Linked DNA regions of Alligator mississippiensis. The protein of the gene in region 3 purifies or fractionates together with the protein of the main gene of each other region. This does not show direct contact. Links are inferred from orthologs where the notes say so. Each region holds a gene or a part of one and is shown on either strand. Other genes may lie near its edges. The genes, in order: C5H1orf35, SCAF1, SRPK2 and DDX46.

What was found.
Region 1: the proteins of SRPK2 (region 3) and C5H1orf35 purify together in Homo sapiens (affinity purification with mass spectrometry; 3 studies listed by BioGRID and IntAct, with this or other methods). This does not show direct contact. The link is inferred for Alligator mississippiensis from reciprocal best matches to the Homo sapiens genes SRPK2 and C1orf35.
Region 2: the proteins of SRPK2 (region 3) and SCAF1 purify together in Homo sapiens (affinity purification with mass spectrometry; 3 studies listed by BioGRID and IntAct, with this or other methods). This does not show direct contact. The link is inferred for Alligator mississippiensis from reciprocal best matches to the Homo sapiens genes SRPK2 and SCAF1.
Region 4: the proteins of SRPK2 (region 3) and DDX46 purify together in Homo sapiens (affinity purification with mass spectrometry; 4 studies listed by BioGRID and IntAct, with this or other methods). This does not show direct contact. The link is inferred for Alligator mississippiensis from reciprocal best matches to the Homo sapiens genes SRPK2 and DDX46.

The regions. Positions count from the first base shown.
Region 1 is NC_081828.1:214,164,776-214,172,421, forward strand, and holds the start of C5H1orf35 (multiple myeloma tumor-associated protein 2), read left to right. Parts: upstream 1-4,554; 5' UTR 4,555-4,663; intron 4,664-5,616; 5' UTR 5,617-5,693; coding exon 5,694-5,787; intron 5,788-7,000; coding exon 7,001-7,151; intron 7,152-7,646. Other genes in the region: MRPL55 (large ribosomal subunit protein mL55), read left to right, coding at 1,316-1,341, 1,768-1,969, 3,160-3,309.
Region 2 is NC_081828.1:40,051,102-40,058,040, forward strand, and holds the start of SCAF1 (splicing factor, arginine/serine-rich 19), read right to left. Parts: upstream 3,073-6,939; 5' UTR 2,533-3,072; intron 1,298-2,532; 5' UTR 1,277-1,297; coding exon 1,136-1,276; intron 935-1,135; coding exon 868-934; intron 668-867; coding exon 573-667; intron 1-572. Other genes in the region: RRAS (ras-related protein R-Ras), read left to right, coding at 4,501-4,764, 6,569-6,656.
Region 3 is NC_081827.1:26,456,722-26,464,363, reverse strand, and holds the start of SRPK2 (SRSF protein kinase 2), read left to right. Parts: upstream 1-4,534; 5' UTR 4,535-4,647; coding exon 4,648-4,663; intron 4,664-4,759; exon of another isoform or gene 4,760-4,761; coding exon 4,762-4,846; intron 4,847-7,642. UniProt on the Homo sapiens protein: Serine/arginine-rich protein-specific kinase which specifically phosphorylates its substrates at serine residues located in regions rich in arginine/serine dipeptides, known as RS domains and is involved in the phosphorylation of SR splicing factors and the regulation of splicing.
Region 4 is NC_081832.1:70,515,154-70,523,086, reverse strand, and holds the start of DDX46 (probable ATP-dependent RNA helicase DDX46), read right to left. Parts: upstream 3,107-7,933; 5' UTR 3,013-3,106; coding exon 2,996-3,012; intron 594-2,995; coding exon 405-593; intron 3-404; coding exon 1-2. Other genes in the region: guided entry of tail-anchored proteins factor CAMLG, read right to left, coding at 6,016-6,207. UniProt on the Homo sapiens protein: Component of the 17S U2 SnRNP complex of the spliceosome, a large ribonucleoprotein complex that removes introns from transcribed pre-mRNAs.

The DNA.
Region 1 (7,646 bases), on a different chromosome or scaffold from region 3:
CCCTGGCTCCCTGCGGTGTGACACAGGGCAGTTCAGGGCACTTGGGGCTGCGGGAAGTGTCTGCCGTGGCTCCCCTCGCCTGCTGCAGTAATGCCCCGGGGGCTTGGCACAGGCAGGCAGGAACCCCATGACTTAGGGCTTCCCGAATGAGGCCGGCAAAAAGCCATCACGGTCCTACGGCCTTGTGTGCAGGAGCACCCCTGAGCCTGTCCTACAGATGTGATGTGGCAGGTTTGGGGCAAGGTCTCTGCCAGCTGCGGAGGCGTTTGCCTCTCGCATCCTGGGGCTGGCGCCGTGCAAACCTGAACGGCTGGAAGATGACCGCGTGCCAGACACGGGACATGTGCAACTGTGGTCTCGCACTTCAGAGGGGTTTGGCCAGGGATGAACATGACCCGGGATCATCTCGCGCCCCACAGCTGTGATGAGATGCTGATCATGGGCTCAGACCCACAGCAGTTTTCTCCTGACGGAGGACAGGAGGCTTCAGGCAGCTGCCTGCATTTCCCTGCTATCCAGAGCTTTGTACCCATCCTTGGCCTATGAGAGGAGTTGGGAGCTACTGGTTGGTTGCCACTGAGAAGTGTTGCCACACAACGGCCACTAGAAATAGCGCCTGCTAGTAGCCACGTGCCAGTGCCCTGGTTCTGCATTGCTCTGAGGGGCTGTTGCTGTTACGTGGAGGGTCCTCTGAGCACGCAGTACTGTCCAGGGTATGTTTCCAGGGGCAATGTTGCTGCTAAGAGGTGCTGCTCACATCAGGTGTCACTGCCAGTATGCTGGATGCTTGCTTGCACTGTCCTGTCTGCCCCTCTGCACCCTGGGTCTCTGTTTTAGTTGATTTTTACCCCATTGCTAGCTGAAAAATCAGGGAAGGCAGAGCACAAATTGGCCTGCCCTGAGATGAACGCTCCTGCTTCTGCCATTCTTCAGGGAGAGAGGTGAGTCTGACCACTCAGAGCAATCCCTTTCTCCAGCTTGTCATCTTGCAGTGCTTTCTAGAAGGCTAAAGGAAATGTTAACTCAGAGACGCACCGGGGGTGGGTGGGTTTTGTTTCGTCCTTTTTTAAGTTTTAAGTGATCCAAGTGAAGAATTAAGGAAATATCGCTTGGCTTAAGCCATCTCCTTTTGGTCTCTTTGGTCATCAGGTTATCGTCAACAAGGAGAGCGCGTCCCAAGAGGTAGTGTAGAAATCCCATCACTGCCCTGAGGAACTTCATGGAGTAGAGTCGAAGAGAGATCTGACTGGGTTTTGCAGGCACGTGCCTCATCCATTTGCGCCCCTTCTTTTCTGCAGTCATTGCCAGGACCAGCATGGCAGCAGTAAGCAGGAGCCTGAGGTAAGCTTTGCACTCGCATCTGGCAGGTTGGCTGATTTGAGGACTCATCTTGCATGATCTCTGAACAGAGATGCTGGCCCCCAGCTGCTTGCAGAAGGCATTTGGCACTTCAGAAGATCAAGCCACAAATTGTGCTTGTGTTTATTGTTAGGACAGGGTCCGTAGGAGCATTCACTTGAGTTGCACATTGAAACCAAGTCTCTTGTATTAGGAGATAACCTGATTGTCAAGGTGGTTAAGGAAAAAATCCCCCTCAGGACCAGGTTTGTGGTTCAAGTGCCATTCCTTGGGACTTCAGGTTTTCTCCCTCTCTAGCATACGACAGACTATTCTTACGTGGTGCTTGAGGGCAGGCCCATGAGCTCTTTCTCCTGAAGGAGTGTAGGGAAGATCATCAACCCTGCCCTGTTTGAATTCCTTTAATAGCTTGTTACGGCGAGATCTGATCCAGCGGCCGCTCCCCACGATCTGCAGTCTGCACGCAACCCCCAGCCAGCACAACTCCAACAGGACTGCCATTGCTAGCTTACGGAGACAGACCTACGGCAGGGTCTACCCAGTTCTCCTGATCAGGCCTGATGGATCGACCGTTCACATTCGCTATAAGGAGCCGAGGTGGATTCTGACGGTAAGGCTGAGCCAGAGCTCTTTCTTCTGTAGAGCTGTTGGAGAAAGAAAGTTGCCCAAACAGCAACTAGTTGGATAGGTGGAAGCTTTCGCTAATGCAGGGGTGGGCAATTATTTGGGTCTGTGGGCCACATAAAGAGTTTTGATGAGCTGTCGCAGGTTGGGTCATCAGACCCACCCCCTCCGCCCCTGCACAACAACTTACCAAAACTCCCTATGTGGGATGGGGCTGTGGGCAGGGAGTGAGATGGGCGATCTGCTGGGGGGGCATGTACAGGGTGGGGGAAGCTGCATGGGTGCTAGGTCCTGGGAGCTGGAAGGGGGTGAGCAGGGGATGTATGCAGCAGAGCTTGCCCGGGCGGTGCAGTCCATAGCTACTACTCTCCGACTCTGCATGGGGCTGAGCCTACACAGGCAGCCTGTGCTGTGCTGTGCTCCCACCTGCACCCACCATCCTGGCCCTGGCCAGCAGGCACAGCTTAGTAGCAGGACTTCTTCTAGTGTGGCAGCTCCCTTCACCTCCAGTGGCAACACCTCTCCCTGCTGTACTGTTCCCAGCAGGGGAGAAGCTGCAACCAGGCAGCTCCTGCCCCAGCATGCGGGGCTTTGGCTCCCAGCTGCCTTCCACCAGGTCCACTGCAGCGAGAGCAGGAGGAGCCGCTGCTGGAGGTGATGGCTTCCAGGCATCAGGAGCAGTCCTCCTGGAAGCTGTGTGCACTGCCTGGGGTTGGCGGGTGCAGGCAGAAGTGCATTGCTGGCTGCCCTGCACCAGGCTTGGCTCCATGTGGAGTACCACAGGGGCAGCCACAGGCTGGATCCAATCAATTGGGGGTCACCCCTCACAGGCTGGATCCAATCAGCTGGTGGGCCAGATCTGGCTCACGAGCTGTATTTTGCCCACGCCTGCACTAATGCCTCCTTAAATCCCTTGGGTAACAGATGAATGCAGAGTGACTTGTGCATCCTTCTCAAACCAACAAGCCCGCTTCGGGCAGTGAGATCCAACTTGCAGCGTTCTAGAAAACTGCGTGGCCATTGATTTTTTTGGAGCAAAATCTCTTGATCACATCTTGCCTTTCTCCTTTCGGACACGACAGAGTCCTTGGAGCTCTGTTCTAGATCGACCTGCTTCTCTTTGTTCTGTTGTTGATTAATTTTTTTTTCTATCCCCCCTCCCCCTTTCCTTCTCAGATGCCTGTAGACCTCAACACTCTTCCTGAGGCTGAAAGAAGAGCCCGGTTAAGGAAACGTGATCGCAACAAGCTCCAAGTCACGCAGGAGAGACTGCTTGAGGATGACTTTAATATGGATCGTTACAAGCAATTCTGGAAGAAAAAATGAGGGCTTGTTCGGAGGATCTGCGAGGAGGTCTGAGGATTTGGGACTGTGCCGAAGGAGACTAACACAATCTTCTAGGGTGGTGGTTTTTACATGAGTAAAGATCCTTTACCCCGTAACTGCTTGTGCTCCTATTGTGTGTGTGTGTGTGTGTGCGTGTGTGTTTGAAAGGTACCACCCTGGAGACTGAAGGTCTCTGTTTATCTGCTGATCGGCTGGATGGGCAATGACAAAAAACCACAATACGTTAAGGAATGACGGGAAAGTTCATTCTCCCTGAAGCATTCAGTCTTTGGTTTTTCTGCTGAGCTAACCAAAAAAGGTGCCAGCTGGTGCCCCTGTACTGGTGGCTTTGTGGGTTGAGGAATCAATTAACTAGGACCTGGGCTGAAGCATCCCAACTGCCCTCAGAGTCTGTAAAATCGTACTAGCCCTGTTTTTGAGACTGACCTTGCTGCCTATGGATCATTTAAAAAGGTGAAAACTCTCTTAGTCTGCCACTCCCAGGATCAACCATGGCTGAGCGATAACCTTATCTTGTACTTAGGAGGTACTGGAAGCCATAGGGGTGGTTTGAAATGGGTGTTTGGGATGCACTGCTCTGTATGAGGGCAGGATGTTCCAGGGCTGCTTGGAGCCTTTCATCTCGGGAGATTTCAAAGCCACAGCGAAACGGGGAAATGGTTTTCCCTACTGCTAAATATAGCAGCCTCTAGGGAAAACGTGATGCCAGCGGGTGAGCAGGAGCAGGGCTAGGAGCTGCAGCTGCAAGTTCCCACTAGCAGGCGGGTGAGCCAGGACGGGCTTCTATGTGTGGCAGTGCAAGAGATCCTGGGATACTGGAGGACTTCAACTTGAGCCACCCCTTAACGGGACAGGAGCTGGGTTGTGCGGATCAGAAAGCATCCTGCTGGGAGTGGCGTAACTTTAAGCCGCATAAGGAGGCTCCAGGGTGTTACCGTGTGGACAACCCAGGGCTTAAGAGCTCCAGGAGCCGCCCACGTTTCCCAGGCAACAAGCCCTTACTTGGTGCACGAGCGCAGCTTCTAGGTCACAGAGGAGACGAGCACGCTGCGCCTGCTCCCCGCCGCCAGGGAAAGGGTTAAATCCCCCGAGACAATGGCACGTCCGGGCGGCCGCATTCTCCGAAGGGCGGGGGGGGGCGCGCTCTGTGCCCAGCCAATGGCAGGCGGGCGCCGCGCTTCTTTCCGGGTTGCTCCATTCTATCCCCCCCGCAGGCGGAGCGCCGTGGTATGCTCCGAACCAGCCGGAAGCCGCTTGCAACATTGGTGCAGGCGTTCGGAGCACGTGGGGGCGGGGCGGTCCGGGGGCTGCGGCTGCGGGCAGCGCCTTGCGGGTAGGCAGGGGAGTGGGGCTGGGCTGGGCGGGGGGAGCTGTCTCTATCGCGCGTGTGTTTGCTCTGATTCCCCCCCCGGGCCCGGCAGGAAAGCCCCCAGCAGCTGATCACCCTCCTGGGTTGTTCCCCCTTCCAGCAGGGATGCAGGGCAATGATCCTGCAGGGGGTGGGAGGGAAGTGGAGCTTGGCCCTTGTCTCTCTGTAGTGCCCTGATCTGCTGGGGAGCTCTGGGGCTGGGGGGAGCAGCGTGCTGGTGTGTGCACGGTGCTGCTGTGTAAAAACGCGCGAGGGGGATCCAAGTTGGCACTTCGGGGCATGAGCCCGTTGCCCCAGGGCGCAGGGAGAGGTTGCCTTTCTCATGTGCACCCACAAAAAGCCCCGCAGGGCACTGGGGGGTGGGGTAGCTTGCCCCTCCCGAAGCTGGAGCCGGGTAGTGGAAGGATGCGGTGTTCGGAGGACCACGAGTTGGGTGTGCTGCGTGACCTCTGTGTCCTGCGACACGCGGCGTCTCGTGTCGTGGCGGTGGAAGGCCTGGGATGTCTCACTTGAGCACTTCTGCAGGGCTGGGGTGAGGCTGGCTGGCCTCAGAGGGCTGGGTTCAGCTCAGGGGGAGACTTTCCTGCCAGAGTGAGCCCGGGGCCAGGCCCCTTGTTGCAGAAAGCTCTCCCTAGAAATCTTTGCTCGCAGCGGCCAACTTCAGCCACTTCGGCGTATGGAGGGAGGGGAGCGGGCAGGGGAAGAACACGCTCATTTACTCCTCCTGGTACCTGACCCAGGCACGGACCAGTCGCTGAAATGCTCTGGTGTAGGAGCAGGCAGCCCCCGTGCAAGGTGCAGGGAGTGTGGCTTGTTATCTGGGGTGGCTTTTTTTTCCTAGGGAAACTAGCCTTTTGCTCCTCACAGAGGATGCTGAGGCTGGGCTGGGGCTTGTAATCCTCCTGCTTGTCTTCTAGATGCAGTGCCTTGGGTTGAGCATCTGGGCACCTGGCGGTGATCTCTGATTCGCCCATCGCTGCTGGCCGTTCCCGCCATGTTCGGCTCATCCCGCGGAGGTGTGAGGGGGGGACAGGACCAGTTCAACTGGGAGGATGTGAAGACGGATAAGCAGCGGGAGAACTATCTGGGTAAGGGGAGATCCCATGATTATTTACAGCCCTTGGGGGAATCCAGCGCTCTGTCACAGCCTGACCAGCAGCCCTGGCGGCTGGTGAGTATCCGCAAGACCCCCAAGTCTCGGCCACCTTGGGACCGCTGTTCTGGCTGCATTTGCAGGCTTCGCTGCCTTGCTGGGGTGTTTCTTCGTGGTGTTCACGTTGGCTGAAAAGGGTTCTGCTCTTTGCCTCACCTTGCAAGCACTTGGTGCTTTGAACAGGCCACTGCAGGTCTTTGAGGCTGGTGTGGGTCCGCTGCGATCGCCCAGTCTGCCCTACAAAACACAGGCCTGGGAACTCTACTCCAGGCCTTCCACGCTGAGCCTGGCCATCTGTGGTGGGCTTAAAGGGAAGAGCTGCTTTAGCAAGACTGTTTGGAGAATGTCCCATTTCCCTTAGGAAGCAAAGAGGTGTCTGAGCATCGGTGAGCAAAGCGAATCTGGCTTAGGCTGTCAATCACGCTGCTAAAACACTTCGGGGGCTGCAGCAGTACAAAGTTGCCATACAAATACTGCACAGATGGGCTCTCACATGTTGCCTGTTCATAAAATGCCACTCTTAGAAGCTTAGTGGCTTGTCCTGTTGCCAACACAACCTTTTTCTGCCATCTGTGAGGGCGCTCGTGTGTCACGTGGTTGCCACGCTCCACCCTAGATTTGGCTGCTTTTCAGTGCAGCGGCATATATAGAGTTACAAAGCCCTTTGTGGATCCTTAGTGGCGAACAATGCTATATAAACGTAAGTTATTCAGGTATTGTGTTGGGTTTCTATTACAGGGGAGGTTCCTGAGCCATCCCAGTGACCTGTTACTGGAAACTTCGAGGTTGGGATATATTGCTGAATAGATTTGCAGCTTCAGACAGGTGCCTCTGCAGGATGCCCTGGGCCTGGCTAAGGGCAGGAGCTGGGTGGTTCTTGTAGAGCTCTTTGCTCATGTGCCAGAGCGCTTCCCATGGGGGTCACAGCATCTACCCTCTTTGTGGAGAAGCTGAGGCGGAGAGATGAAGTGACTTAGCCAGGGTTATGTGGCAGGTCAGTGGTCTGAACCCAGGTCTCTGATCCCAGTGGATTGGTCCCCACGTGACCCGAGTCATGGATCTGACTCTGTTCTGCTGCCTGGGCAGGGACGTCTTTACAGGCCGGATGTTCTGGTTCTGCTGACGGCCTCTCTCGTTTTCTGCGGCAGGGAATTCCCTCATGGCTCCGGTGGGAAGGTGGCAGAAGGGGAAGGACCTCACATGGTATGCGAAGGGGAAGAAGGAGGGCGTGCAGATGTCCCGGGAAGAAGAGTTGGCTGCTGTCCGGCTGGCCGAACAGGAGGCCATGATGGCAGCACTGTAAGTTCAGGGGGGATGTATTGCACTGGTGACTTCCACACACTCAGAGCTGCGTTCTCCACTACGCGTTTCTGGTTGTGAATTGGTTGTCGCAGCCTGGGAAGTCGCCTCGACTTTCCGCCCCACCCTCCTCCGTGGGTGTTTAGTCTGTAGGGAGGGAAGGTGTCAGCCCTCGTTTGCCTTCCTGCTACTCATTGCCACATCTACCAGGCTTCTGCCTCGGGCAGTTCTCCCTAGATAAAGTGGGTCCAGCTCCCAGGCCGTTTATTTGATACCCCTGAATGAACTGATTCTAGCCTTTCTTTTTCTAGCTTTGGCTTATGCAGCAAACCAAAAATGTGCCCAAAGCTGCTATGCAAGTAAAATCTAATTGAAGAGAGAGCAAATGGTTTTTGTCCTATGAGAAAGTAGGCAAATAAGCGAAATGTGTGAATAACCAATATGCGATGAAGCAGAATCTGCTGGACAGGAGAGGGTTCGACGTGGATGATGCTC
Region 2 (6,939 bases), on a different chromosome or scaffold from region 3:
GGGTCGCAGCGCATGCTGGGATGCATAGGCCACACATGCAGAATGGAAAGAACTGGGCACGGATCTCCCGTGGCTCTCCCAGGCCTCTGAATGACAGACCAAGGCATATCAAGGCCCCACGGATAGCTCACTCTGGTGAGAGAGAACAGGGGATTCTGGGACAGCTAGTCCTGATGGGAACAGATCCCTACACAGGAAAGCAGGGCATGCTAGGACATATAACCCAAACTCATATGATCCACTGGGAAGGAGCAGGGCATGCTGGGATACGTAGTCTCAAAACTCATCTTCCCCTTCCCCCCGCATCACACCCCATCCTTATCCCCTTCCTCCTCCCCACATTCACCCCCACCCTCCCCACACTTCTTACATTGCTCCCCTCAATATTCCCCCAGCACTTCCCTCACAACACCCAGCCTCTGTGCAACCCCCTCCTCTCCCATCACCCCCTCATGGCCCTACAGCTACCCCCCACCCCAGACTCCAAGTGAGATGGGATGCTTTATCCCCATAGTGCAACCCCCAGGCTAAGGGGGCAGGGCTACCAAGTGCCTGGAAGCAAGCCCACTCACCGTGGGATCCATGCTACCCCCCCTGGTTGCGCTGGGCCCCTCCATTCGGGGGCTCCGGCACCGTTTCTTTCGGCTCAGCCTCTTCCTCTTAAGATCTGCAAGAAAGATTGGTGTCACCTTGGCACTGGGCTACTCCATGTCCCCTCAGGGCCGCCTAATGTTGAGGGGGAGGGTGTAGGCAGGGCTGGATTTAAAGGGCTCTGCTCGCCTCCTACCCAAGGCAGTAGCACAACCAGTCTCCCCCTCCTCTTGATCCTATCCTTTACCAGCCCTGCAGTGAGGTCCCAGAAGATACCTTTCTTACTGGCCCGGTCCTGCCATTTGCCCTGGAAGCTGGAGCTCACCACTTGCTGTATGGCCTTCTGCAGAGAGAGGAAGGCACTTAGATGAAACTAGTGCTGGCAGGTCCTCAAAGGGGACTTTGGCTTTCCCCACAGCACTGCTCAGGAGCAAACCCAGGAGATCAGACCCAAGGAAATGTAAAGGAGCAACGGATGCTTAGATCAGTCAGGACTTCCCCCCCAGTTCAGCTCCCAGCAGCCAACAGGCAACAAGGACCTTACCATTATGACCTGGCCAGGGCAGAGGGGGCCTGGCTGGCTTAGCTCCCTGTCCGAGGGGGCACTAGCAGGGTGCCCCTGCTCCTCATTGCCCCCGGTTGGGTCCTCTCGTGTGGGGGGAGGGGAATTCTCTTCCTCTTCCATGGCGGCAGTATGGAGTGGAGCCTGCAGAACAGGGAGAAGAGTCAGTGCCAGCACTGGCACACACAAGGTCATCAGTGACCAAACCACTGTGTTCACTCTACCAAGGAGTCCTGGCTCTTAGCACGACCCCTTCCCCACAGCCTGGCAGCACCCCTACACTCCGCTCCCAGAGTCAGGTGAGAACCCAGGTGTCCTGGCTGTCCCAGTCTTCCAGTGCTGAAAGTGATTATCGGGGACAACCAGTCCCTCAGATACACAGGTTACATCTGACAAGTTCCCTGTGAGTGACCCTCTCCCAACTTGCAGCCCCCTGCCAGTGTCCTTCACTCCCAACCCACAGGCCCCTGTCAGCTCAGCCCTGCCACCCCCCAATGCCCCCAACCACTGTTGCCCCTGAGGCCCAGCCAGGGCCAGCCAACCCCTGAAAGAGTGCAGCAATTAATCCCTTCCTGTCCCACATCTTTTGCTGTTAGGCCACCAGCCAGGGGCTAGTGAGATAGAGCTGGTGGGGGGCACCAGAGGAGGCAATACCCACCCTCCAGAGCTGTGAGACTCTCAGCAGGCAAGAGGATGGCCATGCAGGAGTTCCCAGGGCCTCTGTGCCCAGCCGGGTCCTGTGAACCTGGTAGGGTCAGGGGGACCCCATGTCTTGGAGAGTGAGCCTGATATCAGCCTCTTTCTGCATGCATCCTCCTTTCTGCATCCCGGCCCAGCCCCCATGCCTGATCTGCTGTCCCTTGCCCCAGGCAGCCCCCCACACTGCACCTCAGTCACACTGATCCTGTCCCCCCCGCCGTCTTTCATTGCCCTCCCCAGCCCCCCTTCACTGCCCAATATTCCCCCAGCCCCCACAAGGTGTCTGTGACCCCCTCCCCCAGCAACTCCACAATGCCACTCCCTCTACCCCCAACTTACCCCTCCCCTCCACATAACACCCCTCACTGCCCCTCACTCCCCAGCTTTCCCCTGCTCCTCAAGCTGCCCCCTCCCCACCATGATGGCCGCACTGCCCCCCACCCCCCAACTGGACCCTCCCCCCACTTGGCCCCGCCCCCACCCCTTGGCTCCTCCCCCTTCTGGTCCCCAGCTTCTCCCCCCCCCCGCTCCCCTCTCCAGCCCCCTCCCCCCACTTGGCTCCGCCCCCGTCGTTACCTGCTGCGCGGCCCCCCCTCGGGGGCGTCCGCACGGGCCCCTCCTGCCCTCCTAATACAAAGGAAGCCGCCGTCCCAACCCGGCCGCCCCCGCCGCCATCTTACCCGATCGCCCTGCTCGGGCTCGGGCTCGGGCTCGGCCGCGGCGGCGGAGGCGGGGCTTGGCGGGGGCGCCGCGGGGGCCGACGGGAGCGGTAGTGTCGCTCCCCGCCCATCCCTTGGCGCCGGGCCGGGCCGGGCCGGGCCTCGGACTACAGCTCCCAGCCTGCCCCGCAGCGGGCGGGCGGGCAGGACCGGGCGCGACGCGAGGCATGCTGGGAGATGCAGTCCGCCTGGTACCAGCAGTGACTCAGGGGCCCGGCGGCGGCGGACTAGGCTTCCCAGAAGGAAGCGCGGTGGCGCGCGTTGCAAGGAGGGAACCGGGGGCGTCCGGACTGCGTATTCCAGCGTGCACCACGGCCGCGCGCCAGGCACCAGGGGACAGGTTGAGGGCCGGCGCCGGGAGACAGAAGTAAGCCCCTTCACATTCCTATCCCACAATGCCTTGCGGGTGGACGCGGCTTGCGGGAGATGTAGTTCTGGCGGCTGTGGCGGAGGGGTGACAAGGAATTCTTCGGCACCCGCCCGTTTTGACCCCCCGCGATAATGTCATCATAGTTGATCTGTGGCGTCACCCTCCCTGAATGAGGTTATCAGGCTGTCAGCCTCACTCTGAGGGCAATGTTTTCCATAGCACCGCTCCGTGCCCATATCACCCTGCTATGTCATGCCACGCTCTGACACCACCAGTCCTTCCCGCCTACATGGTCCCTCCCCAGGACGTTATAGTCACTCAGTTGCGTCGTTACCATCACCTCCATCACCCACAATTCCCCCGCCCCCCTCAATCCCCATCCCTTTGGCTGGTGGTGTAGCCGGCTCTATAGCAGCTTCTGCCCCTGGAGTTGGGGCACGTGGGTACTGTGCCGCAGTCGCTCAACACCCCCGCCCCGAGAAGCGTCAGGCAGGCCAGAGCCTGGGCCAGAGCAGTGCTGTGCCCCCATCCACCCGCACCTCCATTCCAGCCCCCACCCCCCAGGCACCAGGGGCTCCTATGGGTTGTGATCAGGCGGGCACCCCCAGCAAAACAGATTGGAAGAGAGAGGGAAACAGACAGCAGTTGGGGGCATTGGGCCAAGGAAAAGGGGAGAAGGGGTCAGTCCTGGCCCCGTAGCACATGGTTGGGGTAGGTGGAAGTGTTTCCTTCCTCTGGCCTAGGGAAGGGAATCAGTACCTGAGGAGAGGTCCAGAAGGGAATCAGAGAGATGGAGAGCAAGGCCAGGGGTGCAGCAACATCTTGCCCCCAGCACCATGGCACAGCCCTGGGCCCCTGCACCCCACAGCATTTCCTCCTGCTTTCCAGCATTGGAACATGCCACTCCCAGGGAGGGTGACCCATTCCCCCTAAATGCTGACCCCCTGAAAACCAACTGCCCCTACCGGCTCCCCAGATTCCCCCCCCCCAACCTTCCCCTCTCACTCCCAAGCTTCAATCCCACCCAGTCTCAGCCCCCTTCATCCCCCAACCCCCACCTATCCCCTCACTCAGAACTTCCTTCCAGGGCACCCTGAGCCATTTCCTAAATGCCCCCATGAACTCCAGGCAGCTGTGCCCTACTTTCTTTGGGAGCCCCCTAGGACAGGATGGGGGGTGGTAGAAGCCAGGACACCTGGGTTCCCTCCCCAGCTGCGGCTTGGGTGGGAATAAGAAGCCAGGACTCCTGGGTCCGGTTCCCCACTTAGGGTTAGATCCAGCACACCCGGGGGGGGGGGGGGGGGGCTAAGGGAGGGCACTGTTTGGCTACCCCCACCCCCATGCAAGCAGCCCCTCCCCCCCAGGCTGGAGGGGGCGGTGCCGAGGGGGGGAGGGGTAGTGAGTCAACTTCCTCTACACCACACATGAAAGGAATGCACTGAGGTCATAGCGCCCCCCCTTCCCCGCCCTGCCGGCGCGGCAGCCGCGGGGTCCTAGCGCCCGACCATAGCGTCAGCAGACGGGATCTGGATTGGGGGGTGGGGGGATTCAGAAGTGATATGGACATCCCACCGCAGCCCCAAACCCCAGGGGGAACCCAGGAGTCCGGGACCCCAGTCGCCTCGCAGAGCCGGGGAGAGAACGCAGGAGTCCTGGCTCCAAACATCCACCGCCCGCACCAGCTCCCACCCACTGGACTCCACTCCGCTACCAGATATGGGGCTAAACCCAGGAGTCCCGGCTCCCCACGCAAGCCCAGCAGATCTGCCGCCACCCGTCCCGGAATTGTGGGGGGGAGCCGACGGACGGACCCAGGTGTCCCGGTTCGAAACCCTCGCTGTCCTTCTGCTCGGGAAGATTTGGAAGAGAACCCAGGCATCTTGGCTCCAACCCCCACCACCAGATCTAACCCCCAAGACCCCACTCCCCACCCCAGGGCTGGCAGAGAACCCAGGCGTCCCGGCTCCAAGACCCCACTCCCCAGCTCGGGGCTGGTAGAGAACCCAGGCGTCCCGGCTCCTAGGAGTCTCGCTGCATCTATCCCCTTTTTGGGGTGCAGGGGGTTCCCCCCGTATGAGAAGCGATCGGGGTCCAACGGGACCCCGCGGGTGCCGCCCCCACCCCCATCTCGCCCCAAGCGCCATATAGGGAAGTGGATTTTTGTGAATCGCTCCAGGCTCCAGCTTCTGCACGGTTTCATTAGCATAGATTAGCATATAAGGCGGGGTCCCGGGCCGGGCTTGGGTTGGGGTGGGGTGGCTGGAGAGAGAGGGGGGAGCAGGGTGGTGGTGGTGGTGGTGTGTGTGTGGGGGGAGGGAGCCATATTCTAAGGGCAACACCTCCATGGCACAGTAGGGCCTGTGCTGGGGTAGGTGGGGGGGTCCCCAAGCCAAGCCAAGCCACTGCCTCCCCCCACACCCAGGAGTTCCCCCCCCCCCCCCCCCCGCAAGCCATGAATCCCAAGGACCCGGCGATGCCTCAGGAGAAGTACAAGCTGGTGGTGGTGGGAGGGGGTGGTGTGGGCAAGAGCGCACTCACCATCCAGTTCATCCAGGTAGGTGGGCACAGAGGGGGGTGAAGGCAGGGGTGGGGGAGAGAAGCTGGGGTTCACCCTGGATCTGTCTGCCCCCTCCATCTCCCAAGGTGCCCAAAGTTTCCACCCTGGGGAAAGTTTTGTGCTGTAGGCTGGAGTTGGGGGGGGGGGGCAGGGAGAGGGGTTTGGAGAGGGTAAGAGAGTGGGGGTAGGCTTATGGGTGGGGGGGGCTAAGAGGATTTGGAGGAGGGGGAGATAGGGTGGCTGGTTGTGGGGCATAGAAGGAAGGGTGGAAATGGGGGTCCTGGCCTAATGAAGAGGGAGAGGGGGTACAGGTCTGTGTTGGGGGGTGGAGTCAAGGGGGCCTGGCCTGGGGAGGGGCAATAGGTTGTGGGGGGGCTCAGCTGATTTGGGGGAGGGAGCTCTGGCTTGGGTTGAAAGAAAGAGGAGCCCAGTGTGGGGTTCTCTGGAGGGGCAGTCCCAGATTGAGGGGGGCCCACACCCACTCCTTCCACGCCAGCTGGAGAAATTTCCCCCACCCAAGGGCAGGGGGAGGCTGGAATTTGGGACCTGGGCAGAGGCAGCCCCACCCCATGCCACCCGCAGTGGGGAGGGGGGGCAGGCGTGGGAGGGCTGGGGGGAGGTGAGTGTAGGGGGTGGTGAACTGTTGCTGTATCTACATACACTTTGACCGAACATCCTGTTCACAAGAGGCTCCAAGGGAGGGGCCTGCCAGGGAGAAGGACGCCTGGGTTCTTTCCTTATAGCTTGGGGTGGGGAGTGCGATCTAGTAGTGTTGAGGTAGGGAAGGTGGAGGGACTGGGCTTCTGGGTCCTTTCCCTAGCTTGTGGAGGGAGCATGATCTATGTGTTGGGGTAGGGAAGGAGGGGGTGGGGAGGTGGGGCTGGGCTGCTGGGCTCCTGGACTCCTGGGTTCTTTCCCTAGCTTGGGGAAGGAAGCATGTCAGCATGATCTAGTAGTGGGTTGGGTTGGGCTGGGGTAGGGTAGGGAAGGGAAGGCAACAGGGAGCTGGTCTCCTGGGTTCTCTGTGGAAGTAACACCGTTGCCTCTTCCCTTCCCCCTGCCCCCCACAGTCCTACTTTGTCTCTGACTATGACCCTACCATCGAGGACTCATACACTAAGATCTGCAACATTGATGGCATCCCCACCCGGCTGGACAGTGAGTGCTGGGTGGGTGGGCCTGCCTTGCCCCTGCTATGGGGCTGTGTGCTGGCTCCTACCAGTCCAGAGCAGGGGACTGAGAGCCAGGATGTCTGGGTTCTATCACAGCTCTTGGAGGGCAGTGGGGATCCAATGGATTGGAGCAGGGGTCACTGGGAGCTAGAGTACCTGGGTCTTATCCATAGCTCTGGCCGTGGGGTCTGGTGGGTTGCCAGGACACCTGGGTTTCACCCTGGGCTTGGGAAGGAGGGCAGGGGCTGAGCTGGGAGTCTGACCTGGGG
Region 3 (7,642 bases):
AATCAAGCTAAGAATTGTCCCCTCTCATTTGTTTACAAAGCTATATAAACCAGCAAGTGTGTAGCCAGGAAATCCGGCCCCCCAAAAATAATTTCAAACGAACAATAAACAAACAGACTCTTTTTCAGTGTATGTGCACAAATATATCAAACTGTTAAGAAACATGGAATGGATATGGGAAATAAAGAGAAAGGAAGAAAGCATTGAGGCGAGGAAGAGAGTGGTACTTGAATGCTACAAAGAACTCTGCTATCTTTAGCAAATTCTCCTTTTCTGTATTATTTTTCCTTTTCACAACCCCTGTATTCTCTTTTCCTCCCCACTGCGTTCTTTGTTGTTAGTTCCATTCTGTGCAAGAGCAGCAGCATGTTGGTGAAATTGGCTAACATCCTGATTTTTGGGAACATGTGGTTCATAGAGCATAATATTGCCCACTGAGAAAAGCAGTACAGAGATAAACAGGAACATAAATTAGAACTGCAGGCCAAAGTCTTCAAGGATCCCTTTGCTCAAGAAGTGGTTTCTATTATCCTCAGAAAAGAAGCAGACATCACCATATTTACAAGACCACTGCTAGATTTGTTTTTTTTTTTCCTTAAAAATGCATCCCAATTTCCATAAGAGTAGCTGAAACCTCCTATGTAAGGAACATATTTCTAGGTCAAGTGAAAAGGAAACAACTAAGACTTTTTTGAGGTCAGGTCTAAACTGCACTGTAGAGCATAATAATAAACAGGTAAAATGTCAGCTCACAGCTTGTATGTTTCTCCTTTCCATTCCCATTTGCGTTCACAGCCACGCAAAATGAAAGAATAACTCTTGCCTTCTATTGTCCCTACTAATTGGGCAAGTCAAACCACCTGAGCCTAGAAACTTGGTCCCTACAGCAAATGAACTCCTTGATAATCCAGCAAAACCAGACACCTCTGTTGCAGATACTCTGTTCAAGGAAAGGCAGCCAGTGAAGGGGAAAGTAATCCTGTTATATCCCATTGTTGCAAATTTACTTTATCTATTTGTTACAAATACTTCATTCCAGTCTGTGCATCCTTTTGAGCGCAGTATTTAATTTAAAAACATTCTTTTAAGGTAACAAAATAGGATGGAAGGAAAAGGAAGCATATATACACTTGCACTGAAGTAGCAAAATAAGTTAATTAAAACATACATGTAATTATTTCTGTACACATTTGTGTTCAGGCTAGCCCTATAAGTAATTTTTAATACCATTTTACCTTGTCTGAAATTTAATCTAATATTTTTGGCCTCCTTTCTCTGTCATTTCCAAATGTAGGCCCTAATCCTAGCAAACACTTTATAACTACTTTATGTGAGCAGTCCCTTTGATACAGCTGAACTACTTCCATAAGTATCATTTTACACATGCTTAAGCATTTGCAAAACTAGGGCCCTCGTCATCATCTCAACATCCTTTGTGTTTAGATTGTACAGCTATTATATTTACCTACTAATTTAGATAAGTGCACATAAGAATCCTTTGTGCATGTGTAAAGACTTTCCCATTTATTTTATTATCTTTCTGTGTGAGCATATTACACAGATCTTTTGAGTAGCCTCTTCAGAAAATAGAAAGACAGAACAGGAAAAATGCAGTCCATTTCCTTGGAACAGGAATAAATTGATTGTATAATAAACACCCACCTAATCCTAAGAAATAATTCCTTCTCTGTGCAATACCAGATACTTCTCTCATGCTGCTTATATTGCTGACATTATACCCTTGAGGGAAATTCCTTCCTGACTCCAGATTTGGCAATCACTTTATCACTCTGTTCATATGAGTAAAGCCCTTTGTAGCTGCACATCTAAGACCCAATTGTCCCATACCCAACCCCACTGAAATAAATGGGAGTGCTCATGAACAGCTGAAAGTATGATTGGGCCCCCTGATCTATGACTGAAATATCCTACAATCACCCCTGAAAGGACTTCCCTGACCTTTCTAAGCCTGATTAGAGGGGCCAGGCCTCCTTTGCATATAATATGTATATCTGTTAGTCACCCAGCCGCTTTGTAAGCTTGAAACAATTGTGTTAAACTTTGGTAATTACAGTACTTTCTAACTGCAGTGTCCTCAAGCATTAAAAGCATGTGTGTTATTCTCTTCAGAATGATTAAATTTAAAGCAATAATAAATACATTAGTGGTTCTTTTTCTTTGCCTTTTGGTATTGGAGTCTTAGCAATTTGATGTTATTCACTGCAACCATGAGGTGTGCAGAAGTATATTGAAATAGACTTTTAAAATTAAACCTGAAATCCTAATTGAATGAATCCAGAGGCTTTAAGAAAAACAACAAAGACGACTTAAAATCAATATCCAGGAGTTAACAACATGGCATCAATCTACATCTAGAGGCTTCTCACTACTATTTAGTATTGTATAAACATTCACCAAGAAATGTGGGGAGAAACCTTGCTTTACTGACACTGAGGAGTGTCAGGGGGGAATGTTCGAATAAGTGTCCAAAAAGTGTGGAAACTTTTCAGAAGAAAGAAAAAGAGGGTCACAGGAGGGACTCCTTTAGATTTTACTAATATTGGCAAAATGTTAGTAAACACAGGTGACATTATTGAGGGCAGCTCGTCTGTTTGTTAGCAGGCACCTGGTTGTTGTCCATTACCAGAAGCTTTTTGAGCTATACTGCATGAGGTATTTCAGGAATGAGGCAGAACTCCAAAAGGGGACCCTAAACGGATATACAAGGAAGAGTACTGGAGCACCGAGAATTTAAAACTGGAAGTTTTAAATACTCTAAGTGCTCAGTGTTTGACTTCTTATAACAAACATGTGCCATTTTTAAGACTATATTATGCACCACATCCATAATCTCCCACCCTCATGCACTTGTAGTGTCTGAACATTGAGCCTTCTGGGTTGCAGCACCGTGTTCAAGCACTTGACCTACTGAACCAATGAACACTGGCTGACAACACCTTCCTATCATCTTGTGTGCCTAATGCTTCCTCAGCCTGACAAAGCGTATTTGTACCTGAAAGCTTGCAAAGAAGAATTTTGTCAACTATTTGAGTTGGTCTAATAAAAGATATTGGATTTACCCAAAGAACCTCACCTGCCCGAAGATGCCTAATGCACTGGTGCAGTAGATCACCTATACTCAAGCAGTAGAACTGACTGAAAAGCTTATTATGCTCCTGGAGAATGCTGAGTTTTGGGTTTTTCTCTTTCGCTGAATGTTTATATTCAGAAATGCCGCGGTGGTGCCTCATGGGAGTTGTGGGCTAAGAAGCCCGTGTGCCCTTTCTTCTCTACAGCAGCAGTTCTCAACCTTTTTTGTACCAGGACGAGGGTGGCCACGAGGTACCTCAAAAATAGATGTCCCCACTACCACAAACGTGGTGCGCCTCCCGAGGCTGGAGGGCACAGTGAGGTCCCGCAGGCAGCGGTGTTGGCGGTGGGGGTAGTGGCGAGTGGTGAGCTCCTGCAGGCAGTGGTAGCGGTGTCTGCAGTGGGGTCAGGCCAAGAAGGGAGCTCCCGTAGGTGGTCACCGTGGTGTTGGCAGCAGGGAGGGGGTGGTGTTGAGTGATGAAAAATAGAGAACGTAAAGGCACTTGGTTTTCCTATCAACGGAGGACCAGAAAACCAGACTCTCCTGTATAAAACTGGACAAATGGCCACCCTAACCAGGACCCATTTGTAAAGGTTGATGGCCAGTCCCAACCCAGTGCCCCTCAGTGTGTGGGCATGTGGGGTAGGGAGGGCAAGTGCACAGGGGTCCCAGGCAGCCCCTTGCAGGTGGGAACTGTGCCAGCCTGGGAGAGAAAACCCACGGGTCCCCCGCCTTTCTCATAGATTGAATAGACATTAGGGCTGGAAGGGACCTCGGAAGATCATGGAGTCCAGCCCCCCCCCCCCGGGACAGGAAGTCAGCTGGGGCCATAGGATCCCATTAAGATAAATGTCCAAATGTCTCTTGAAGGCATTCAAAGTAGGTGCTTGAACCACCCCTGGCGGCAGGCTAGTCCAGGCGTTGGGGGCTCGGACAGGAAGGAAATTCTTCCTTGTGTCGGGCCTGAAATGGTCTTGCAGGAGTTTATAACCCTTCGACCTTGTCACCCCTTCCTTGGGGTGAACAGATCCAGATCCCGGCGAGCACCCCGATAAACTTTTCCTCCTTTAAAAGAGAATCCACTTTTACAGCGTGTGGATCCGTTTCCAAAAACTTTGCTTGCCCCCCTTTCCTAGATGTTGGGCCCAGGGGTTGAGAAAGGCTGCTTCAGGGTGGGCTCCCCGATCCGAGCAGAAACAGCGGGGCACCACGTGCGCAGCGCTCGTCCTGCCCGCCCGGGCCGGGGGACGCCCGGGGAAGGCGCCGGCTGGAGGCTCCCGGGGGCTCGGCCTCCCGCCCGGCGCGGCACTCCCACGCGCGAGGTCCCCAGCGATGCGAGCAGGACCCGCGCCCCCACCTCCACCCCCGCCGCGCTCCCAGGCCGGGGGCAGGAGGCGCCAGCGCAGCCCCCGCCCCGCCCCGGTGCCGGCTGCCGCGCCTGCGCAGCGCTCGCGGGGCTGCTGTCCGTGCCCGGCGCTCCCACCGCCTGCTCCTCCGCCTCCAGCCTCGGCTCCGGCTCCGCTCGTGCGCCGGGCCTGGCCCAGCGGCGCAGAGCGATGAGCTCCCGCAAAGGTACCGTGGGGCCGGTCGTGGGGCAGGGGCCGGGGCAGGGGCAGGGGCCGGGGCCGCTCCCCCTCCCCCCCCGCACTAACCCGCCCGTGTCTCCCCAGTGTTGGCGCTGCAGGCCCGGAGGCGGCGGCCCAAGCAGCCCGTGGCGGCGGCGCGGAGGGACAAGCAGCCGGCGCAGCACAAGAAGTGAGTGCGGGGCCGCGGGGTGTCCCGCCGCGCTCGGGCGCCGGGGGTCGCTCCGGCCTGGGAAAGTTTCCTTGAGGAGCGGGGCCCGCGGCCCGGGCTCCTCCCACAGCGCCCTCAGGGCTCGGGGCCCCGCGCACCTCGGCAGGGGAAGGGGAAGGGGCTTGGGGGAGACAAGTGCCCAGCGCCCCTCAGGCGAGTGAGTGCTGGCCCCTTGCCCCGCGGAGTTGGCACTTCCAGAGCCGGCGCCCAGCTTTTGGTTGCCTCAGGAAACGGTGGCAGCAAGGTGTCGGGTGCCTGGGCCACAGAAGACCCCCCCCCCTTTCTTTTTTTTTTTGGCCTGCTGGCTCCTCGGTTTCTTCTGCTTTCTCTCCTCCTCGTCTGTCTGACTGTCCCAAACGCTCAGATCTTTGCGCGGGAGTCTGAGATGTGTCGCTCTTCTGAATGATATAAGGAATGATCTGTGGCCAAAATTTAATTGACATTGGTATTCGATTGGATTAGAAAGAAAATCAGCCTTAACAAAACAAAACAAAACAAAGGTTTAGGTTCCCCTGCTTTGTTTTGAAGCCAGACACTGCTGTCTCATGCTGCTCTTGAGCGACAAAGAAAAACGTGAGAGGAACAGAACAAAATCATGAAAAGTCAGGGTTGTTTTTAGCTTTTAATCCTCCAAGGTTGGTATTCAGAGTAGACACCTGCTTGTTTGCTTCTGACTCTAATGTTATCATTTGAACTTTATTTCTGCTGGGGTACTATCCTTCAGTCACGGCAGGAAGGGTCAGCACAGCAACCAACATCCACTGCTCCCATTAACAGTCTGCTTCAAGGGAATTGCATGATTGCCTGGTAGAATTCTTTGCATTGTAACTTATTGGCAGACTGGTTGCATCGCTTATTAAGGTAGTCGCACAAACTGAACAAAGCAAGAACTTTTACCTCCACGTTTTTTTTTTTTGTTTAGTTTTCATCATCTCAATAGTTAATGTAAGGGTGTGAAGGGCGCTTAGTGCTTGCCAGATGTAGATCCTTTCAGTTGATAATGAGAGCTAGCAGAAAAGATCTCCTAAGATTTTGTGGTGTGGAGAAGTAGAATGTAAGTGATTGGTCTAGGGAGGAAGGAAGGGGAAGAAGTAAGAAGGTAAGCGATTGTTGTAAGGAGGGGTCCATGTTATGACTTCGATCATGATGAAGTCTGTGAAATCCTACAAAGGTTGGTGGTTGAGCCTCAGTTGCAGAGATGGCTAGAAAAGCATTATGTAGTGCTACTATTGGCAAGTTATGCCAGATATTTGGTTCTGAGAAAAATACATGGATTTACCATGTGATGTATACAAGTTGCTTTTTATCAGCCCTAGTCTGTTAGGCAAAGGATTAATCAAAGCTGTTAAGACAGTTGCACACAGAAGTTGTACCAGTTAAACTGCAGGTCTACCCTTTGAAAAGTAGTATGGGAAATGAACAGATCTCTGCACACAGGCTGTGTTCAGAGACATACTTGCTTTGTAGTAAACATGCTGGTTTGCTATTCTTTCCTTGGTATTCCAGAGCACAGCCCTGGAAAAGGTAGCTCACTTACTTTTGGCTCTTGTCTACATGCAGACTTGAACTTTAGAGTTAATGCAGAAGCCAGGAGAAAAACATATTTTTTTTTTTTTGTTTTTTTGCCTCCTCCCCCGTGCCTTTCCTCGTCCCCTCAATCAAATTTGCTTGCAGATGTGGTTTTTTGTTGTTTGCTGTTTGTTGTTTTTGTTTTTTACAGCATGTAACATATTGGAGCTCAACTGATTGAAGTGTTTGTGCAATACTACAATGCAAGGGAAGGCTGATCATGCTGTTATTTTCTTGCGGTGGTGAGGAATACAATTGCCAGGGAAAATAAAGTACCTATATTTCCCTCCTGTGCATGGGTGGAAATGATACAGCTTTTCTTGTGACAAAAAATATCCAGACAATTAATATATTCTTGGGCTTATCTATATTGTATAACTTGATTTTATGTATACACGTACCTAGAAAATGGTATGTTGCTGCCATTTGTCAGTATTGTCACTTTTGTTATCCTACAGTGAGCAAACCTGTCTGGGCCACCTAGTGTCATTTTTGTGTATTTACTCAGAATATGGTGTCAACATGAGACAGTGGGTCCTATGAGTAAAATTGATAAATAGTTGTCTTCTGAGTTGTGGTGCTTTGGATAAGCCTTCATCATTTTGTCTTCATTGCCAGCCTGAAAGACCATACAGTTCTGCAATGTATTAAGCTCAAACATTTTAAAAACTTGGATATCTAAAATTAGCTAATCAGGGTAACTTCATGCCCCTACTTTGAAAAATTAGGCTTCCCCATTAGGCTCCCCCATATCAGTCTAAAAACTGATCTAGCCTGTTGTTGATTTCCCTTCCTCTCCCCTTCCTTTTTCTTATTGGGTATGTGTAATGGTCTTCATACATACATAGATTATATTTTACAGAAAGTAATTATATTTCAGTTTTAATATATGTAATTTGTAGCTTCTGATATGTTTGAATATCTGAGACACCTCTTCATCTAATGTTTATATTTTTAATGTGTTGATGAATAAAGCCGATGCCAAAAGTTTTTGTGGAATCCATTCAATGTACAGTAAATCTTATACTGTAAAGAAATGAATGTGTCTGTTAAAGTACTGTATATGTTGGTTCCTCTGTTAACTGAGACTTGCAAAAATCTCATGCTGGGAAAGCATCTGGGATTGTAACCATTTACTTTGAAATAGAAAGAGCTTCTAGAACTTGTAATATTCTACTATGGTCAGGT
Region 4 (7,933 bases), on a different chromosome or scaffold from region 3:
GTCTGCCGCAGGAGAAAAAAGTGTTTTATTTAGCATTCCATACACATGGCTGTCATTTTTTTTTTAAATATAAAAACAAACTTGTGTTGGGGAAAACATGACATAAGTTGGCCTGTTAAGAAGTGGGGGGAAGGAAAAATCATTTTCGTCAGTGCCCTGCCAAAGGAAGCTAAGAACCATGAAGGCCAGAAACAGAGTTACAAAATCCAGCTACAGTATACTTTTCCACTGGGTGATAAACTTAACCTGTGTGACACGTACTAGCCAACGCTTTACCTAATTTCACACCTGCCAGAGGCACCCATGACAAGTAACCACAGCAAGTGGAACATCACAGGTAGAACATCCCACACAGAAGGGCAGATACTTTGATTCACTTTCTTAAGACGTACTGCAACGTGTACCTTGGGCGCTTCCTCTCCCGTGACCTTGATCTCCTCTTGTCCCTGCTGCGTGACCTCTCACGCCGACGTTCTCGATCTCTGCTTCTAGAACGTCTGTCTTCTCCGCGTTTTGCTCTTTTGTCGGATGGAGAACGACTCCTGGAGCGGCTGCCAGAACGTCCCCGTGAAGCAGAGCGCTTCCGATAGTGCCTATGTTGTGGTAAGTGCACAAAATCAAGTCAAGATTCACAGGAGAACAAGTTAGAGGCATCTGCTGCATTTAGAACCGGGTCCTCTCTAGGGAAAGAACCAATTTTTAAAAAGGCTTTACTGCCCCTGCAAAACTGAACTAATGAACACATGTACTCCTCTGAAGTGATGGAAATGACTGGATTCCCTTGAAAGAGTTCTTACGAGATGGCATTGACAGAGCACAGCTCCTAATTGCAGCAGAGTTCCAAGAAGCATTTACTGGTGGTCCATCCATTTTGGTATATAAAAGATTAAAATTGCACATAATCATGCCTCTTGTGTCAGAGTTGACTGTGTAGTTTTGTAAAGACGTTAGACAATGGATTTGTATAGGATAGTTTGGATAGGGATGATCCTGCCTCAGGCAGGGGATTGGCCTAGATGACCTCTGGAGGTCCCTTCCAGCCCCACTTCCCTATGATCTGTAAGGTTTGGGCAGTCCTGCTCAGCTTATATAAATACCTCTATCCAAATACATTAAGTCTTAGTTCCACAGAGCTGCTATCAAACTCTATGAAAACTATCATATGCTAGCAAGAGCATCTGTGGTTTGATGGGCAGAGCATAGGGCTGGAGTCAGACTTGGACTGTATTTTTCTCAGTTACTGACAGGCTGTGACCTAGAGCGAGTCAATTCACCCGTCTCCGCCTGCAAGGTTTTGCCCGCTTAGATTCTAAACGCTCCAAAATACGGACCGTCTCTCCATAAAACACAGCCCAGATCTGGGTTGGGACCCCTGTAATAAAACAGCAATCACTCAGACCAGAGCCTGCTTCAAGGTGTAAACCTTAACAGAGAAGCACGAGCATAGCAGAGCAGTCCGTGGCAAATATCTCTTATCCGAGGACTTGAAAATGCTTGCACTTTTATAATCTTACACAAGAGCAGAGGTAGGAATCACTGCACCCACTGCAGAAATGCAGATACCCACGGGGGTGTCTGTACTGTTTCAACTGTGGGTAGCAGAGACGCAGCTAACCTAACTTGTGTACCTGCAGCGGTCTCACCATGCAAGCGGTGAATACTCACCCCATTCAGCGGTGAGTATTCGACCAATACCACTCCCTTAGCTAGCTACTTAAAGTTATCTCAGGCACTGGAGCACCAACTGAAGCGAAGACATAGCTAACCTGCAAACAGCGCTGTACAGTCAGTCCTCAACTTACAACGTTTCGAGTCACAACGTTTCGCACTTACAACCTTTATAAATTGACACCCTATTTCAACTTTCTGACCCCAGTTTCAACTTACAACGCTTGATTCGACGCGACGCCAAGCCAGCAAACAAGTTCGCGGTGTCACCTATCTCCCTGGAGAACATCTGTCCAAACTTCCTTGGACACTTTCTTTAAGAAAGCAAAACCCTGCACCAAGACCCCGGAGGAGACTCCAGCCAAGAGCCCTTCAGACAGTCCAGCAAAGTCACCTCAAAGAAGTCCTTCCAAATCAATATGATTGCTATTTACATTGATGTAGCTATATTACTCATCTATAATTGACAGAATACAAAATTTTGGGTTATTTTTGATGAAAATAAGGTATCCTTGGTTCAGGAACCAATCCTCCATTTATAACATTGTTTCCTATCGGAAAAAAATCAGTTCCGAGTCACAACATTTCGACTTAAGACACGGTTTTCAGGAACCAGTCGTGTCCGAGGATCGCCTGTAACACTAGGCAGGAGTTCAAAGCAAACAGTAAAGCACTGAAATCAAATGGATTTAGACAGCATGTAGCTGCTTACATTTTTGCCAGGAAAGAAGGATTAGCGCTCCGGTCGCCAGGGGTATACAAAATGAATTCCCCTCCAAGGTGTGCGACCTTGGAAAGCCCGGCTTCCCCACCCGCGCGCCTGCCTCGCACCCACACGCAGGCTTGTCGCGGCTCACGGCTGCAAAGCGGTATTTCAAGAGGCCGGATGGAGCGAGAGCAGCGAGGTGCGCCAGCCTTGCAGGGCAGCACCCACACGAAGATCCATGGCTGCTCAGGAAGTGTCGTTTAAAAGAGGGGAAAGAAGCGGCGGACCCGCAGCCAGCCCGAGGAGGAGGAGGAGGACCCGGCCCCGCTCAGGGATGTCACCTCCTGGCTCAGTGGCAGGGACGGCGGCGGCGGGGCCCTCACGAGGTCACACCTCGGCTCCGCGCGGGACCGTGCCCAACCGCCGTGTCCTTAAAACATTTCCGAGAATGACCCCCCCCCCGCCCCGGGCAGGTCGTTTCCCCTCAGATCCGGGCCCGGCCCCTGTGGGCCGACAGCGGCCTGCCCCGGCCGGAGAAGTGGGTCTCGCAGCGGCGCGGGGGCTGAGCCCGGAGAGGGGGGGGAGCGGGCGGCAAGGCCCCGGCGGGAGGAGCCGCCTCACCTGGACTCGCGGCCCATGGCGGCGGCGGCGGCGTTGGCCCGGGATCGGGTGCGCGGGCTCTAGGCGGCCGCCATTCCGCGCGGCGGGCAGAGGGGCGGCGCGCGGGGCCCGGACAGGCCTGCGCCGCGCGCGCCCCCTGGCGGCCGGAGGCCGGCAGCGCAGGGACAGCGGGCTTCTCCCCCCCACCTGCAGCCAGCTGTGCGTGCGGGCCCGGCCCCGCCCCGCCCCGCCCCCCCGGGACACGCGACCCGCCCCCGCTTCGCAGCGGGCTGCTGGCGGGGCCGGGGTCTGCGGGCGGACGGTCCCCCAGGAGCCCCCTCAAAACAGACGTGAAACAAAGGAGCGAGCGCATCCCTCCCCCACCCCCACCCCCGAGCAAATCAAACCTTGACTGAGAGTAACAAATGCCGTTTTAATAAATTTAATAGAAAACAACCGCTGTAGAAATAAACGTCCGATACATTTATGTGCGCGAGCAAAGGGGGAGGGGCGGCGGGGGTGCAAATCGAAGGTGGGACGAAGGAGATCCGTTTCTGGATCGCGCGTGAAGTCCGAGGGCTTCGTTCAAGTCTTGAGAGCCGAGGACACAGGCAACCCCTGGTGCTACCTGCTCCTGTCCCGACAACGTATCCTTTCCGCTCAAAAGCTCCACCTTATATTTCAGGGGTGGCGGCTGGAGTCGCGTCGGTCTCCGGACATCGGCAGACAAGGTCCCTTGGGTGAATACATCTTTTATATTCACCCAAAGACCCTTGTCGGCCTATTGTATTTCAGGCCGCTTGGGAAAGGATCTGCTCAGCCATTTCACAGTTAAAGGAATGCAAAAAGAGCAGGGCAGAACGCCAAAATAAACACAAGTATAAATCAAAATGCTTTTTTAAGCTTAGTAAAGAAGGGGGGGCCCTTTAAAAGGTGATGTAATATTAATAACCAGTGCTTTTTCTGCACCCTCCCTAGTGCTACCTGCAACACTTGCTAATTCGGATAAATAATCCTGAAAGTTGTGTCTCATTTCTGAGAATAATCTTCACATTTCAACCGTAGCTAAAATCTCAGCTGTCAGCATCTGCTGAAATTGTGTCCCAACCATTCCTGCCAGTGGACCTAAATCAGGTTGTCATTCCCCCCCCCAATCTATCCTTAAACATCTACACTGAGATGTTGACGCAAAAAGTAACCGCAGTACAAAGCAATCTTCCATAATTTAGAACACAAGTTTCTTGCTTCAGACATAGAGCAGAGGTCTGATCGTGGGTTCAGGAGCGCAACAACGTCATATTGCAGAATATTTTAAAAGGGGAAAACAATTAAGCAGAAAAGCAGAGTCTTGTTTACTTCAGAAACACAAAACCAGATTAAACAGGAGGCAAAACCATTAGCAACATAACCAGGCATCCCCTCCCAATTGAAAATCTGGTGTCAGTCTACTTCACCTGGATGCTTCAAATAAATAATACACAGAAGACAACAGGTTAAGGGTAACACCAGGTTCAGATGCAGTAGCAGCAAATATCCAAATATGGGTAATGGGAAAGGTTGGCTGATGGAGATCCCTCCTCAAAGTCTGTTCCAGTTTACACCATCCCACTAAGGCCAAATTTCTGCTGGACTGGGGACAGTGCTACCCTCTCTCCCCTAGAGAGCAGAAGGCATCTGCTGTGGGAGCCCCCCCATCCCTCACTGCTTCTACATCTGCTCCAGAAAAGGTGTCAGTTTCCACCCCCTCCTTCCACAGGACACATTGATCTTCTTATGGAAATCAACTCAAAATAACATGGTGATAAGAAGTCTTGTTCCCTTGCCTGTTTCAGTACTTAGGATTTGAATAAGCATGCCTATTGTGGCTTATTTGGAGGGACTTCAAACCAAAATGTAGAAGAGAGGAATTAGCAAGTCAGTTAACATATAAATAGCTCTGCTGAATGCTAACCAAGGGTTCTATTTAGGCTATTGAGCAGCAGCACTATTAAGCAGCAGGAGCAGAACTCCTAAGCAATTAAGGCCCTGTTTACATGCAAATGTCTTTTTCTATAAACAGAGGGAAAGAAACAGAATATAGATGTCAGTTAAAATTGTTTTAAACACCCTTGCAAAGATCCAGGAAGAAAAAAATCCCCTTGTTAACTAAAAGTTGAATAAAACTGCTATATTTGATGCCTATTGAAGTAACTGCTTGAGAGAATGGGGTGCCTGAGTGCAGCTTTCACTGTAGAAAATGAACTGTCTAAAGAAGAAGAGCGCAAGTAGGGTGTACATGAAAGCCGGGGTAAAATTAGGGCTAGAATTAAAGAGCTTATGGAAACATTTGAGACCAGCAGCACACGTGCCTTCTTGCTTCACAATTAATGGCATTTGTACGCCAACAGGATTTATTTCACTCTAGAATCCTCTCTTGAAGTCCGTCACCGGCACAACAAATAATTTATGGCACCAAGAGAGGATGAGGGCTCCAAGCCACAGGACAATGAAGAGGCATGTGTCGCCCAACCCTACTGCAAAAGCCACAGGCTTTTTTATTCAGCATTCAGAGTCTGAACACTGGAACGTAAGGATTCATTTTATATTAGTCATGGATTTCTTTTAAACATGGAAGCAACACCAGAAGAGCAGTCCTTACGTGTATCCAGTCACAAAGTGTACACATATGGGCTTCGTGAAAGCACATTTGTGCTCTCACACTGCAGAGCCAAAAGGGAGCAGCAATTCAAGTGATGTCAGGGGTGGAGGAAGAAGGATGTCTTCTAGTTAAACAAGTAAAGGAAATCAATCACTGACACTTGCACTCTATTCTTCACATTTGCCATGTGCAGAAACAATAGCTGAATACACTGTACTAAGACCACTCCCACCCTGAAACCCTGTTTATCCATTCACAAATGAGCGACTTTAAGATGCCTGTCAAGCATTCCAACAGACAAGAATTAAATTAAAGGTCTAAACCAGTTTGCATATCCACAGATGTTACAGGAATACAGAATGCAAAAAATGTGTGTAACTGCTACTTTGAGGTCTACAAGCCCTCACGGTGCATCAGAACCAAAAAACACCAGCAGTTCATGGCAGAAAATAAAAGTAAAGAAGTAGACACAAAGATCTGTGAAGACATCTCCCATTTTGCTATAGGTGTCCATGGAGCGACTAATCACTTCTGCTGGGATCCCCGACAATAAAAGAGCAGCAGTTAATACCGTAGTTTTCACTTTCTTCTCGCACTGAAAAAAAAAGAACAAAACAAAAGAGTAGTGATTACTGAGTGTATGAAGAGTCATAACTTCTAAATACATTTTAAATCCAATGAGTTTCTCTGGGGGCTCCCTCCTACTATGAGTGACAAGTCAACATTTGAAGTTAACATCATCGTGTGAATCGCTGACAAATGTGTGTGAATTCATGTTCTGATGGTCTCTTAATCAGCTGTCTACAAAAGGTTCACCAGTGCAGTTAGGCCAGGATAGACATGTTGCAAACCATCTCACATCCACACTGGTTTCTTCTGTAAAGAACTGTATTTTTGCCAGTATAGCTTTAAAATATATAGATAACTTCTGGACATATATGCATGCACACACTTTTGTGGAAGGCCAGGTAGGGATGCTTTGTGTAGGCTGTTTTTGTGCCATAGAATGGGCTATTCATTTTGTTATGGACCATGGTTTTAGTTATGTCAAGGGACCTATACCTTTGAATTGATATCCCATTGCATTTAAAACACATTTTTATGACTGCAGTGTTCACCTATGTGACATTTCAAAGTGATCTGAATTAGAACAGTTTAGTACCACAACTACGCATTATATGAAAAGGTAAATCATTTATGAATGTTAAGACAGTCATAATCATCAATGAATTTTAACAAAATAATGAAATGGATACTAGTAACAGAATAACCTGAGTAAACAAACAAAGTCAGGGCACTCCACATTAAAAATTAGAGAATTTTTAACGGAAGAAAAGGAATTCAGCCATCTCCTCTCAAGACTCCCTACGGAAGCTTTACTTTCGACTAGCCCAGACACAGGCAGGCCAGCCTGAGGTTTAAAGTCCCATTGGAACATAGAGTATACAGGTAACTACCATTTGCTTTCAATTCAGAGACTCACCTCTGAAATATAAAGGTTGAATAACTGATTTTGAGAAACACAGAAACTAAGAGAAAAGCTCTAGCTAGCAGACAACCTAGTGCAGGTGATCTGAGGCCAGTACCCTGGTACGCTGTCTGGTAACTTGTGCAGACCACTAAAGAATAATTACTTGAAAGTTCACTGTTTTTACTTACATATTTACTACTCTCACTCATTCCTACTTGCTACACTGACTCGGCTATTCCTTTTAACATGTAAATATTCTCTTTCAACTATGGCTGTGAAGTACTTAATTCTGCCTGACTTTACAAAGCAGACTGACAAAACCATCAAGCAAGCAGTTGCTTCTTTACAATTAACTTGTGATACGATCCCATTAATATAAAGCAGGAGATATAATCCCGCCATGTTGAGAAGCAGAAAGTAACAGGCATAAATAAAAATCGCCACATTTCAAACTTCTCTAAAACTGAGTTCAGGGCAGCAAAGGTCAAGGACCCATTTCACTGAGAGGGAAACATTCTGTTTGGTCAAACATGACATGAACAGTGCCTATGGATGGAGCCTAAAAACAGCAACTGCACAGAAGTACAGTGTAAATGGAAGGCAAAATCCTACCAAATCAAAGAAAAATCTAGCCAGCTTTCCCAAGTAAATGCTTCCTACTGGGCTATAGCTAAATATTAAGTAAGCACAAAAATCAGACACAAAACTAATTTTCATCCAAGACTTTTAAGAACATTTGGATTCAGGTCCTCCAAGATTAAAAGCTAGGGTATTAAGTGCCTTTCACTTCAAACAAAAGGGAGCCAAAGTCTCATACTGCGAGTGATACCTATTGAACCTGACTCTGTTT